3 linked regions of the Canis lupus familiaris genome follow. The protein of the gene in region 1 purifies or fractionates together with the protein of each later gene. This does not show direct contact. Links are inferred from orthologs where the notes say so. Each region holds a gene or a part of one and is shown in the gene's direction. Other genes may lie near its edges.

Region 1 (4,118 bases):
TATGTGTATTGTCTCTCAACCACACTGTAGGTTCACTGAAAGATAAATACCAAATCCCATTTCCAAAGTGCAAGCACAGAGCCATACACATACTAGTTATTAGTGAAATCTGCTATGATTTTGTAGACCTAGGGTTAGTCTTTGGCATGGTTATAATGCCAAACAAGTTTTTAAAGATTCCTATCAGAATTATACACTAAAAATGGAGGGAAAAAAGTAATTAGCTATTTTGTTTCTATTCCTTCTAAGGCCTCCTTTCTAAGGTACCACCCTGCCTACAACTTTTATGAGTAGAACTAACAATGTTTGTTTATAGCCCTATACTTTAAGTTTTTTGAAACAGAAAAACAAATGCACTCAGGATAACTAGTTAGAAATATTGTCCATGGGCATACAATGGAATCTTAAAATAATGTGTTTGTTTTTTGTTTTTTGTTTTTTGTTTTACTAAATAGCTTTTGACTTGGTAATGAACAATATGTTGTTTTTCCCCAAGAAATAATTCTAGGACTTTAGTCCTGAACATTATATTTTATTTTACAAATTTTCAGCTTGCTGTTTTTATGTTTCCAGTGATCTTACATTAAGTTAAGCATTTGTCTATCCAAAACAATAGGTCAGCTATAGCCAAATTATAACCATACCTTTCCTCTGCACACAAATTCCTATAAACAGCATGTGATCATATTGCTTCTAGAATTTATGATTGTTTTCTTCCAAAAGGAAGCTAAATTTAGCCTAGTAATTCTACATGCTCCCAAGGAAACAATGCCTGCTGTGATTTCTAGAATAAATGAATCTGAACCACAGTTCCTTTACTTGACTAACTAAGAAAGTTTAAATATCAACCTAGTCATTAACCACAGATATTAAACCACATTAAACAACCAGCAAGAGGTTAAGAAAGAAATTTGCTGTTTCTGACTTCATTGCTAAATGAGTCCAACTTAGTTGGGTGTATTGTCTTTAATACAGAACATTGTTTGCATCTCATAATGGTTCTCTAAAATTACTCGTTCATGGCTTGAGTTCTAAAATTAAACTATGTGGAGTCATGTCCATCTGCACAATGCATCATTATGTGAAATCAGCTAGAGTTTTTTATTTTCACTTGATGTAAAAATTCCTGTTAGGAAGATTTGTTTCTAATAGTTTAACTGGTATGGTTCTTTCAGTTTCTTCTTTGTTTCTAATGACAACTAAACTGCTCTCTCTTTGAACATGTTTTGGCAGATATGCTTCTCACCATGAAGGCTCCTGCTGTGCTTGCACCTGGCATCCTTGTGCTTCTGTTTACCTTGGTGCAGAAGAGCTATGGGGAGTGCAAAGAGGCACTAGTAAAGTCTGAGATGAATGTGAACATGAAGTATCAGCTTCCCAACTTCACTGCCGAAACACCCATCCAGAATGTTGTTTTACACAAGCATCATATTTACCTTGGTGCAGTTAACTATATTTACGTTTTAAATGACAAAGACCTTCAGAAGGTTGCTGAGTACAAGACTGGGCCCGTGCTGGAACACCCAGATTGTTCCCCATGTCAGGACTGCAGCCACAAAGCCAATTTATCAGGTGGTGTTTGGGAAGATAACATCAACATGGCTCTGCTTGTTGACACATACTACGATGACCAACTCATTAGCTGTGGCAGTGTCCACAGAGGGACCTGCCAGCGACATATCCTTCCACCCAGCAATATTGCTGACATACAGTCGGAAGTGCATTGCATGTACTCCTCACAGGCAGACGAAGAGCCCAGCCAGTGCCCTGACTGTGTGGTGAGTGCTCTAGGAACCAAAGTCCTGATATCAGAAAAGGACCGGTTCATCAACTTCTTCGTAGGCAATACCATAAATTCCTCGGACCATCCAGATCATTCATTGCATTCGATATCGGTGAGAAGGCTAAAGGAAACGCAAGATGGGTTCAAGTTTTTGACAGACCAGTCTTACATTGATGTTCTACCGGAGTTCAGAGACTCCTACCCCATTAAATATGTCCACGCCTTTGAAAGCAACCACTTTATTTACTTTTTGACAGTCCAGCGAGAAACTCTAGATGCTCAGACTTTTCACACGAGAATAATCAGGTTCTGTTCTGTAGACTCTGGATTGCATTCCTACATGGAAATGCCTCTGGAGTGTATTCTCACGGAAAAGAGAAGAAAGAGATCCACAAGGGAGGAAGTGTTTAATATTCTCCAAGCTGCATATGTCAGTAAGCCTGGGGCCCATCTCGCTAAACAAATAGGTGCCAACCTGAATGATGACATTCTCTATGGAGTGTTCGCACAAAGCAAGCCAGATTCTGCTGAACCAATGAATCGCTCTGCCGTCTGTGCGTTCCCTATCAAATATGTCAATGAATTCTTCAACAAGATCGTCAACAAAAACAATGTGAGATGTCTTCAGCACTTTTATGGACCCAACCACGAACACTGCTTTAATAGGGTAAGTCACATTCATTTCCCACTTATAAGGTATAAGTCAGAATAAGTACCAGTCCAGAAAAGAATATCAAGGGCTTTTTGGTGCCTGGTAAATTATTTTTATCCATAATATTTGTACATTCTTTCCAAGAAAATTTAGATATTGTATCTTCATTTAAATGTAAAATCAGGGACGCCCAGGTGGCTCAGTGGTTGAGCGTCTGCCTTTGGCTCAGGGTGTGATCAAGGATCCTGGGATCGAGTCCTGTATCGGGCTCCCTGCAGGGAGCCTGTTTCTCCCTCTGCCTATGTCTCTGCCTCTCTCTCTTCGTCTCTCATGAATGAATAAATAAAATCTTTAAAAATAAAATAAGAAATAAATGTAAAATCATAACTTGAGAAAAAGTTAATGTGGTTCTATGAAAAGATATTTTACAGTTTAGGTTTACATGGTTGTCAACACTTAAGATTATTAAATTTGTTTCTCATTTAAGCTTTAATAGTTCTGGTCAGATTTACACAAAGTTTAACACAACAGCAATTCCTGTAAAACACAATTATTGAGATCTCAGTATAGTCTTTACAACATATAGATGAGAAGCCCAAGTTAATTTGTGAGTTTTAAAGGCTTTTTGCCTTATGAGGCCCCATTTGCTCACTGATATACAAATGAATGGTTTACATTCTGGGCATTATGTAAAGAAAATTAAACTAAAAACAAACAACAAAAATCTCTTCTAAAATCTTGGTAAATCAAATATTTTTAAATGAGCTAATACACTTCTCTGAAGAACTTAGAAAAGTAGAGGAAACTTTTGTTCCCAAATCCTTCCTTTGGAACTTGCGTGGACTTTCTACGTGAATGGACCTGTGTGTATCACCTGCTAGCTAGATACTTTTTACCTGGTTGGTATTTGATATTTATAAATACTGATATTTTCATCAATACTTGTTTATACCTACATGAAATGGTATTTTCACAGATGTTAGAAACATTCTTTGTTGGTTTAACTTACATATAGTTAAAGCTACCAGCCATAGCCAGAGGATTTATCCTACTAGCACCAGATCACTTGGTGCTAGAGGAAGAACACCAAATCCAGAGTTCATTGTGGCCTTGGGCTCCCTTGGTTTGGACCCACATTCAAGCATATGAACCTGGGTATGCCTCCTAACATAACGACCGCTCGTGATCATAATTAGATGAACAAATAGTATAGCTTTTCTAAAGACAGTTTGACTTCAGAAATCCACATCTCACGACTCTATCAGTTTTCAGTCTCAGTAATAAAGCTTGTAATTGTAAGCAGAAGGATATTAAACATATCTTTGATGAAAGAGAATATCTAATGTGCTGAAGGGTATCAAGGACATATGAATTCAAAAACATTTGGTTCACTTTTTGCTGAAATGTCTGGGATACTTCCCCAAATGGAAACTCCAAATAGCTCTTTTTTTGAAGATTTTATTTATTTATTTATTTACTTATTTATTTGAGAGAGAGCATGTGTGCACGTGCACTCAGGGGCAGGGAGAGGGGCGGAGGGAGAGGGAAAGAGAATCTGCAGCCAATTCCACTCCGAGTGCAGAGCCCGATGCAAGGCTTTATTTCACAACCCTGAGATAATGACCTGAGCCTAACTCAAGAATTAAGCCACCCACACGCCCCTCAAATAACTTTGTATAAAGC
Region 2 (3,648 bases), on another chromosome or scaffold:
TTTGCAAACTCTGTGGCTTATATTTTGATCATCTTTATAGTATTGGCTAAATGTTTGTTACAGAAAATTAGTAGAAAGAAAGATATACAAAAGCCTTCAAGTTGCCACCTCCTTGTAGATGACATTGAATTTCTGCAATCCCACAGTCTTACGGAACAGCAGGTGCCAGAGGTGGGCTGAGTAAGGAACAAGTGGACCTACTTGGTAAACGGTGTTGGCCCAAGGGTTCTGCATGCTCTTCAGAGGAAATGCTCTTCCTTGTGTCTATGCCTTAATCATTTACCTTTCTTGGAGTTGTGTACCTTTCTAATTCTAGTGCCTCAGGGATCAGGGTTTTATGTGTGGATTTAATAGGTGCCGTTGGGGGTGTGGGCTGGGACAGGACAGGAATTAGAGAGAATGCTTTTGGTGGTTTTGTGGTGGTGGTTGTGTTGTCTGGTGTAATCATAAAAACTAAGAAGCATTCATGCTTTAAATCTTACGGATCGCACAAAAAAATCGAATGAGAAAAGCCATGTATTTTGATTGCTGAGCTATAAATATATTTATTAAAATGTAGTCTTATGTCTTCACCATGTTTTATTTTCTGTCATTAACAATTTTTATTTAGAACACATGCTGATTCTGCAAAATCCACCTCTTCTGAAACAGACTGCAATGATAACGTCCCTTCTCATAAAAATCCTGCTTCCTCCCAGAGCAAACATGGAGTGAATGGCTTTTTTCAGCAGCAAATGATGTATGACTCTCCACCGTCTCGTGCTGCCTCTGTTTCTGTAGACTCCAGCCTTTATAACCTGCCCAGGAGCTACTCCCACGATGTTTTACCAAAGGTGTCTCCATCCAGTACCGAGGCAGATGGAGAACTCTATGTTTTTAATACCCCATCTGGGACATCAAGTGTAGAGACTCAAATGAGGCATGTATCTATTAGTTATGACATTCCTCCAACACCTGGTAATACTTACCAGATTCCACGAACATTTCCAGAAGGAACTTTGGGACAGACGTCAAAGCTAGACACTATTCCAGATCTTCCTCCTCCTCGGCCACCGAAACCACATCCAGCTCATGACCGATCTCCTGTGGAAACGTGCAGTATCACACGCACGGCCTCAGATACTGACAGTAGTTACTGTATCCCTACAGCAGGGATGCCACCATCACGTAGTAATACCATTTCCACTGTGGATTTGAACAAATTGCGAAAAGGTCAGCTCTAAGTGGCTTCTACTGTGTTAGAGGTTAATGATAGAAAATCTGTGCATCTGAATATTTGTTCTTTTTAGCATAGTATGATGTTAAATGATAGTCCTTTTCTTCCTTCAGCTCTGGAGTTACCCACTCATGTAGCGAAGATATCAGAGTCTCAGTAGATCCTGGGAAGGGTGTTTGTGCATGCAGCGTGCGCCTGAGTGCATGTTCTGCTGGAGGGAGAAAGAGTTGGAGTTTTTCATCCCTGAAGAAGTATGGCCTTAGAGATCCTTTCCTGCCTCAGGAAGTGTGCACCCCTCTTTTCTGCTTTCCATGTATCCTGGGTGGGTAGACTCTCTGCTGGGACAGAGACACAGGAAATGGAGCAGCCACAAAGTTCTCCAAGTCATCCCTTTCCTGTATTTGTGTGCCATTATGGCCGCTTCTGTGTCACATCTGCTGGGCTCCATTTCCTTCCTTCCTCAACAAGCAATTTGTATGTAGTGTCTAACAAGTATACTCAGTTCCAGTCGTGCCATTCTGCTTTTTTTTGGTTTTATTTAAAGTTCTGAATCTTCTCTCCCCTTACCCTAGCCACTTCACTTAGTCATATGCCATCTCCTAGAGCTTGCCAAAAGTTACCGACCTCAGAGGAGAGAAGTTCAGTCTGGGTTACACTCTAAGGTTCTTAAAGTCCTAGAAATAGAAAGCCAGAGTTTAAGATGCACATGCCCTAAAAACTATGTGCCAACGTTTCTATATTTTGTGGTAGAGTTTCCCACCAGTCCTAAAGAAAATAAAGATTTGATGCATCATGAAGAGTACTAATGTGGAGATTTGACTCAGCCATCCAGCACCAATTTCTAATTCCCATCTCAAAGTGGCTCTGTAATCTCATTACGGGTTAGTGAAATATGAGTTAGACCCAAGGTGGTGCAGAAGACGAGAAAAGAGTAGTATTTAAATAACCCATCTCATCCCAGACTTAGACATTCATAATCAAATGCTGGTACTGGTTAGCATTTAGTGAGTGTCTGCGTTTGCCGGTGGTTTAATGCACCCTTTCAAGATATTATTCTGTTAGTGTCTTTTTAAAAATCTGTGTGTGTGCACGCATACCCGCATGCATGTGTGTGAAGAGAGAGAAGAGACCATTCTGAAAACCCTGAGAACTGGTAAAAATGGGAGGAAATGCTGATCGTTTGTTTTCTGTTTTAGATGGTAGTTCTCAAGACTGCTATGATATCCCACGAACATTTCCAAGTGACAGGTCTAGTTCACTTGAAGGCTTCCATAACCACTTTGTAAGTATACTTGACCTTGGTGTCATCAAATGCATTTCATTGTCAGGATCTCCACACTCAGTGCCCTGAGACTAAATGAGGTCATTAGATAAAAGTCCCCTCAGATCCGTATGAATAGGTGTGACTTAGAATCGTGTTCTCACGTTGGATAATAGTTTGTGTTTATTAAGAGAAATGTCTGTGTGTTTTAGAAAATCAAAAATATATTGACAGTGGGAAGTGTATCAAATGAAGAACTGGATGAAAATTACGTCCCAATGAATCCCAATTCTCCTCCACGACAACATTCCAGCAGTTTTACGGAACCAATTCAGGAAGCAAATTATGTGCCAATGACTCCAGGAACATTTGATTTTTCTTCATTCGGAATGCAAGTTCCTCCTCCTGCTCACATGGGCTTCCGGTCCAGCCCAAAGACCCCTCCCCGAAGGCCAGTTCCTGTTGCAGACTGTGAACCACCTCCCGTGGATAGGAACCTCAAGCCTGACAGGAAAGGTAGGGAGGGCACGGTGCAATGCAAGGGGCAGGGGGCAGGGGTGTTGCCAGCTGCACTTACCGGTCGTTAAATCCAAAATGGAATCGGGACTGGAAGTTCTGAAGTACATCATAGTACCTTAGTCATTAACTTGTTTTTAGTGCAGTATTGTTGTTTGTAGATTAATAATTGTTGTATGTTGATGCCCAGGTGAGATTTCTGTCTCCTGTCTCTAGAGCAGAGGTTACAAACTAAAATACTCACAAGGTTGGCAAACAACAGGAGAAAATTAGGAGAAACTCAAATGCACTTGCCCGCTCCAAATGGAGTAACTGAGTGCTCCTGGGCGGTAGTCCTTTGTTGACTTGTGAGTCTGCTGTGGGCCCACACAGGCAAATCATCTGATGTATCAGGAGAAGCCAGAAGTTTCATCTCTTGTGCGTATCATCTTTTGATTCTTGAGTTTGATCAGTTTGTTTAATTTAAAAACAAAAAAATAAAAAAAAAGTACTGCAGACCAAAGCAAACACTTGTACAGACTAGACGTGGTCTTTGGCTGCTATTTTGTAACCTCTTCTCCAGAGTACAGGATATCCAATCAGACTAGAGATCAGTAGTAGGTTTGACGTCATTCTCTAAGAACAATGAGGTTGCTTGTACAATCTTTCCAGTCTG
Region 3 (3,648 bases), on another chromosome or scaffold:
GGAGAAAGCCTCTCCCATTCTCAGGCAGACTCTGTCTTCCCAGAGTAAGAAACTTTCCCCCCATCCCTTGGAAACAAGGTGGGGGGCTTCTGGAACCCTGGCCTTGCCATAGTCCTGGGTTCACGACTCTCCCTACTATCCCCTTTCCCCCACCCCCTCGGGTAGCAAACAGAGGCGGCCTTGTTCCTGCTCCCATAGAGCTGCCCTGTTCTCCACACACTAAAAATGGAAACCCCCAAGCTATTTTGGGAGCAGTGCCCAGCTGGGCTGTGGCCACTGCTCCCCTGCTCCCACCAGGCTGCTGGACCCTTCTCTGAGACTTACGCCCAGCCTTCTCATTGCGGGACAGTCTCAGCAGTACCTTGGCGGGGTCTTGGCTGGGAGGAGCTGACCCTGGGCTGAGGGAAGCTCTCCCTCTTGCAGACTGGCAGCTGGGGGCGGGAGGGGCTGGGCAACGTGGGCTGGGCAGAGGCCGAGTAGAAGTTATCTCCCGGCCTGGGAGCAGCATTTCATCAACCTAGTGTTCCTGACTGGGGACCACCCGGGGCTGGGGAAGATAGTGTTGCCATGGTTTTCAGCTCCCAGCAGGCCTTAGCAGGGGCTTACAGGGAGGGATCTGTGAGGAGAGCAGGGACCCAGGGTCTGAGGAGACCCCGGGGGTGGGCAGCAAAGCTGGACATGGTGACTTCTGGGACAAGCCTCCCCCAACCCTGGGCCCTGGCTCTGCTCTGACCTGCAGGAGAAGAAATAGCAAGAGATATGCTGGCTTCCAAGGCTCTGTAGGCCTTAGGGCTCGAACCAGGGAAGTGCGCATGAATCTGTGTGTGTGGGTGTCTGAATGTGGGTGGGTGTGACATCTGCTTGTGTGGAATGCCTGTTTGTGCAATATGTGTGTTTGTGTAAGGAGGTTGTGTCTTTGTGCAGGTGTCTTAAGTGTGTGTGGTATATGGCCTGTGTTTCTCTGTGTGTCTGTGCTATGTGGACGTGTTGCATCTGCATGTATCTGCATGTGTGCAAGTGCCTGTGTGCTTGTGTGTGGGCGTGTGCATGCAGTGCCAGTGGCATGTATGTTTCTTTGTGTATGCAAGCTTGTGTTTCCCTATGTGCCAGTGTCAGTTTGGGCTAGGACGGTCCCTGGCCTGTGTGGTACCTGGGTGCCCTGATGGAGTTTGGGCAGAGGGTGAGAAAGAGTTCCAGGAAGGGAGAAGGAGCTGCAGAGGGACAGGGCCATCCTGGGGTGGGGTGGGGCTGGGCTCTGCCAGCTATGGGGCTCCTTCCTAGCTGCCCTTTCCCAGGCCCTGAGGGTGCCTGGTTCCACTGCCCTCCTCCTCCCTGTGTGGGCTCTGAGGAGGCGTCCCCTGTGGAATGTGTTTGGTGGCTGAGGGCCAGGCTGGGCCCAGTTCCACTGGCAGGCTGGGCAGCGGGAAGGGGAGCCTGGGCTCCCACATGCCTGCAGCCCAGCCCCCAGCTTCATGTTCTGCTATCTCCCTGGCTAGGTGACTCCCACACAGGTCATGCTGTTATCTCCTGATCCAGTCAGCCCTGCCAGGTGAGCCTGACCTCACACCTAGGCACTTGGGAGAAGTGTGACTCCTTCTTATGGCTCTCCAAGGTGGGGTCTAGTTTCTCAGACCCCAGCCCTGGCAGCCTCAACCTCCCTCATCTTGTCATTGGTTCTGTGGTTTCCTTCTGGATTCCTGGCCTTTTCAGAGGGGTCCTCTCAGTGCTCTGAGCCTCTCAGGGCTCTGGGCCTCTCCTTCCCCTCACTTGCTCTCTTGCCTATTCCAGGCCCCAGTCCCCTGGGGTTGGGTTGTTTCCCACATCTCTGCCCCACTGGCCGCTTACCCTCGGACCCTGTGGTGACACAGGCCAGGGCAGGGCAAAGGGGTGGTGGGATGGGATGGAGGTCTCCTGAGACCATAGTGCTTGCAGAAAACGAACAGTGTTGAAGTTACCAGGAAAAGATCTGACCCCTTGCTAGTATGTGGTCCTGGGGTCATCCTGGACCACAGTGCCATCTAAGCCTGGGCCTCCTCTGCTCACTCCCTGGGGTTAGGAGAATCATCTTGGTGATGTGATCCCAACAGTGGCCCTTCAGCACTCCATCTCTCTCCTTGCCAGGTGACCATGCCTGCCCTCGGCCCAGCTCTTCTCCAGGTGTTCTGGGCTGGGTGGGTTCTCACCCTCCAGCCCCCTCCACTGGCTGTTTTTACTCCCAATGGCACGCATCTGCAGCATTTGACACGGGATCCCACCTCAGGCACTCTCTACCTAGGAGCCACCAACTTCCTGTTCCAGCTGAGCCCTGGGCTGCAGCTGGAGGCTACCGTGTCCACGGGCCCTGTGCTAGATAGCAGGGACTGCCTGCCACCTGTGATGCCAGATGAGTGCCCCCAGGCCCAGGCTACCAACAACCTAAACCAGCTGCTCCTGGTGAGCCCAGGGGCCCTGGTGGTGTGCGGGAGTGTGCACCAGGGGGTCTGCGAGCTGCGGCGCCTGGGGCAGCTTGAACAGCTATTGCTGCGGCCCGAGCGCCCTGGGGACACCCAATATGTGGCCGCCAATGATCCTGCGGTCAGCACAGTGGGACTGGTGGCCCAGGGCTTGGCTGGGGAGCCCCTCCTCTTCGTGGGGCGAGGCTATACCAGCAGGGGTGTGGGGGGTGGCATCCCTCCCATCACAACCCGGACCTTGTGGCCGCTGGACCCCCAAATTGCCTTCTCCTATGAGGAGACGGCCAAGTTGGCTGTGGGCCGCCTCTCTGAGTATAGCCACCACTTCGTGAGCGCCTTTGCACGTGGGGCCAGTGCCTACTTCCTGTTCCTGAGGCGAGACCTGCAGGCTCAGTCTAGAGCATTTCGTGCCTACGTGTCCCGAGTGTGCCTCCAGGACCAGCACTACTACTCCTATGTGGAGTTGCCTCTGGCCTGCCAGGGTGGCCGCTATGGGCTGCTTCAGGCTGCGGCTGTGGCCACATCCCGGGAGGTGGCCCAGGGCGAGGTGCTCTTTGCAGCCTTCTCCTCAGCCGCTCCCCCCACTGTGGGCCGGCCTCCGTTGGCAGCTGCCGGAGCATCTGGAGCCTCTGCCCTCTGTGCCTTCCCTCTGGACGAGGTGGATCGCCTTGCTAACCGCACACGAGATGCCTGCTACACTAGGGAGGGCCGTGCCGAGGATGGCATCGAGGTGGCCTATATTGAGTATGATGTCAACTCTGACTGTGCACAGCTGCCGGTGGTGAGTCCCAGCTGATTCCTGTCTGGCATTCACAGCCAAGCAGCTGCCCGAGGACTCTGAAGGGAAACTAGTGGTGGTGTGGGGGCTGATCAGGTCAACGGAGGGAATGTACTTCCATTGTGCCTGGGTGGTGGAGAGATACCTTACTGAAATTGTGGCGCTCAGGTTTTGGAGAGCCATTCATAGCTGGGCTTGGACTGGGCTCTGTAGAGGTGGTGTTTGTGTGGGTAGACTGAGGGTGTTTGGGGTCCTAGGGTATGGGGCAGGGACCTAGAATGTAGGGAGTTAGGCCCTGTTTCAGGTTTTTGAGCAAGAGCCTGGTGAGGTTGAGACTTGTTTGGCTCTAGCTTCTGGATGGATAACACAGGGAAGAAGCCCCACCCAGGGGGACTGAGTGAGGGAAAGGTAGTAGGG

The links.
Region 2: the proteins of MET (region 1) and GAB1 purify together in Homo sapiens (affinity purification with western blotting; 3 studies listed by BioGRID and IntAct, with this or other methods). This does not show direct contact. The link is inferred for Canis lupus familiaris from reciprocal best matches to the Homo sapiens genes MET and GAB1.
Region 3: the proteins of MET (region 1) and PLXNB1 purify together in Homo sapiens (co-immunoprecipitation; 3 studies listed by IntAct). This does not show direct contact. The link is inferred for Canis lupus familiaris from reciprocal best matches to the Homo sapiens genes MET and PLXNB1.

What each region holds. Positions count from the first base shown.
Region 1 is NC_049235.1:55,754,542-55,758,659, forward strand, and holds the start of MET (hepatocyte growth factor receptor precursor), read left to right. Parts: upstream 1-1,228; 5' UTR 1,229-1,247; coding exon 1,248-2,450; intron 2,451-4,118. UniProt on the Homo sapiens protein: Receptor tyrosine kinase that transduces signals from the extracellular matrix into the cytoplasm by binding to hepatocyte growth factor/HGF ligand. Regulates many physiological processes including proliferation, scattering, morphogenesis and survival.
Region 2 is NC_049240.1:741,739-745,386, reverse strand, and holds part of GAB1 (GRB2-associated-binding protein 1), read left to right. Parts: intron 1-610; coding exon 611-1,212; intron 1,213-2,412; coding exon 2,413-2,498; intron 2,499-2,689; coding exon 2,690-2,993; intron 2,994-3,648. UniProt on the Homo sapiens protein: Adapter protein that plays a role in intracellular signaling cascades triggered by activated receptor-type kinases. Plays a role in FGFR1 signaling. Probably involved in signaling by the epidermal growth factor receptor (EGFR) and the insulin receptor (INSR).
Region 3 is NC_049241.1:41,070,012-41,073,659, forward strand, and holds part of PLXNB1 (plexin-B1), read left to right. Parts: exon of another isoform or gene 1-1,496; 5' UTR 1,497-1,549; intron 1,550-2,121; 5' UTR 2,122-2,127; coding exon 2,128-3,234; intron 3,235-3,648. UniProt on the Homo sapiens protein: Receptor for SEMA4D. Plays a role in GABAergic synapse development. Mediates SEMA4A- and SEMA4D-dependent inhibitory synapse development. Plays a role in RHOA activation and subsequent changes of the actin cytoskeleton.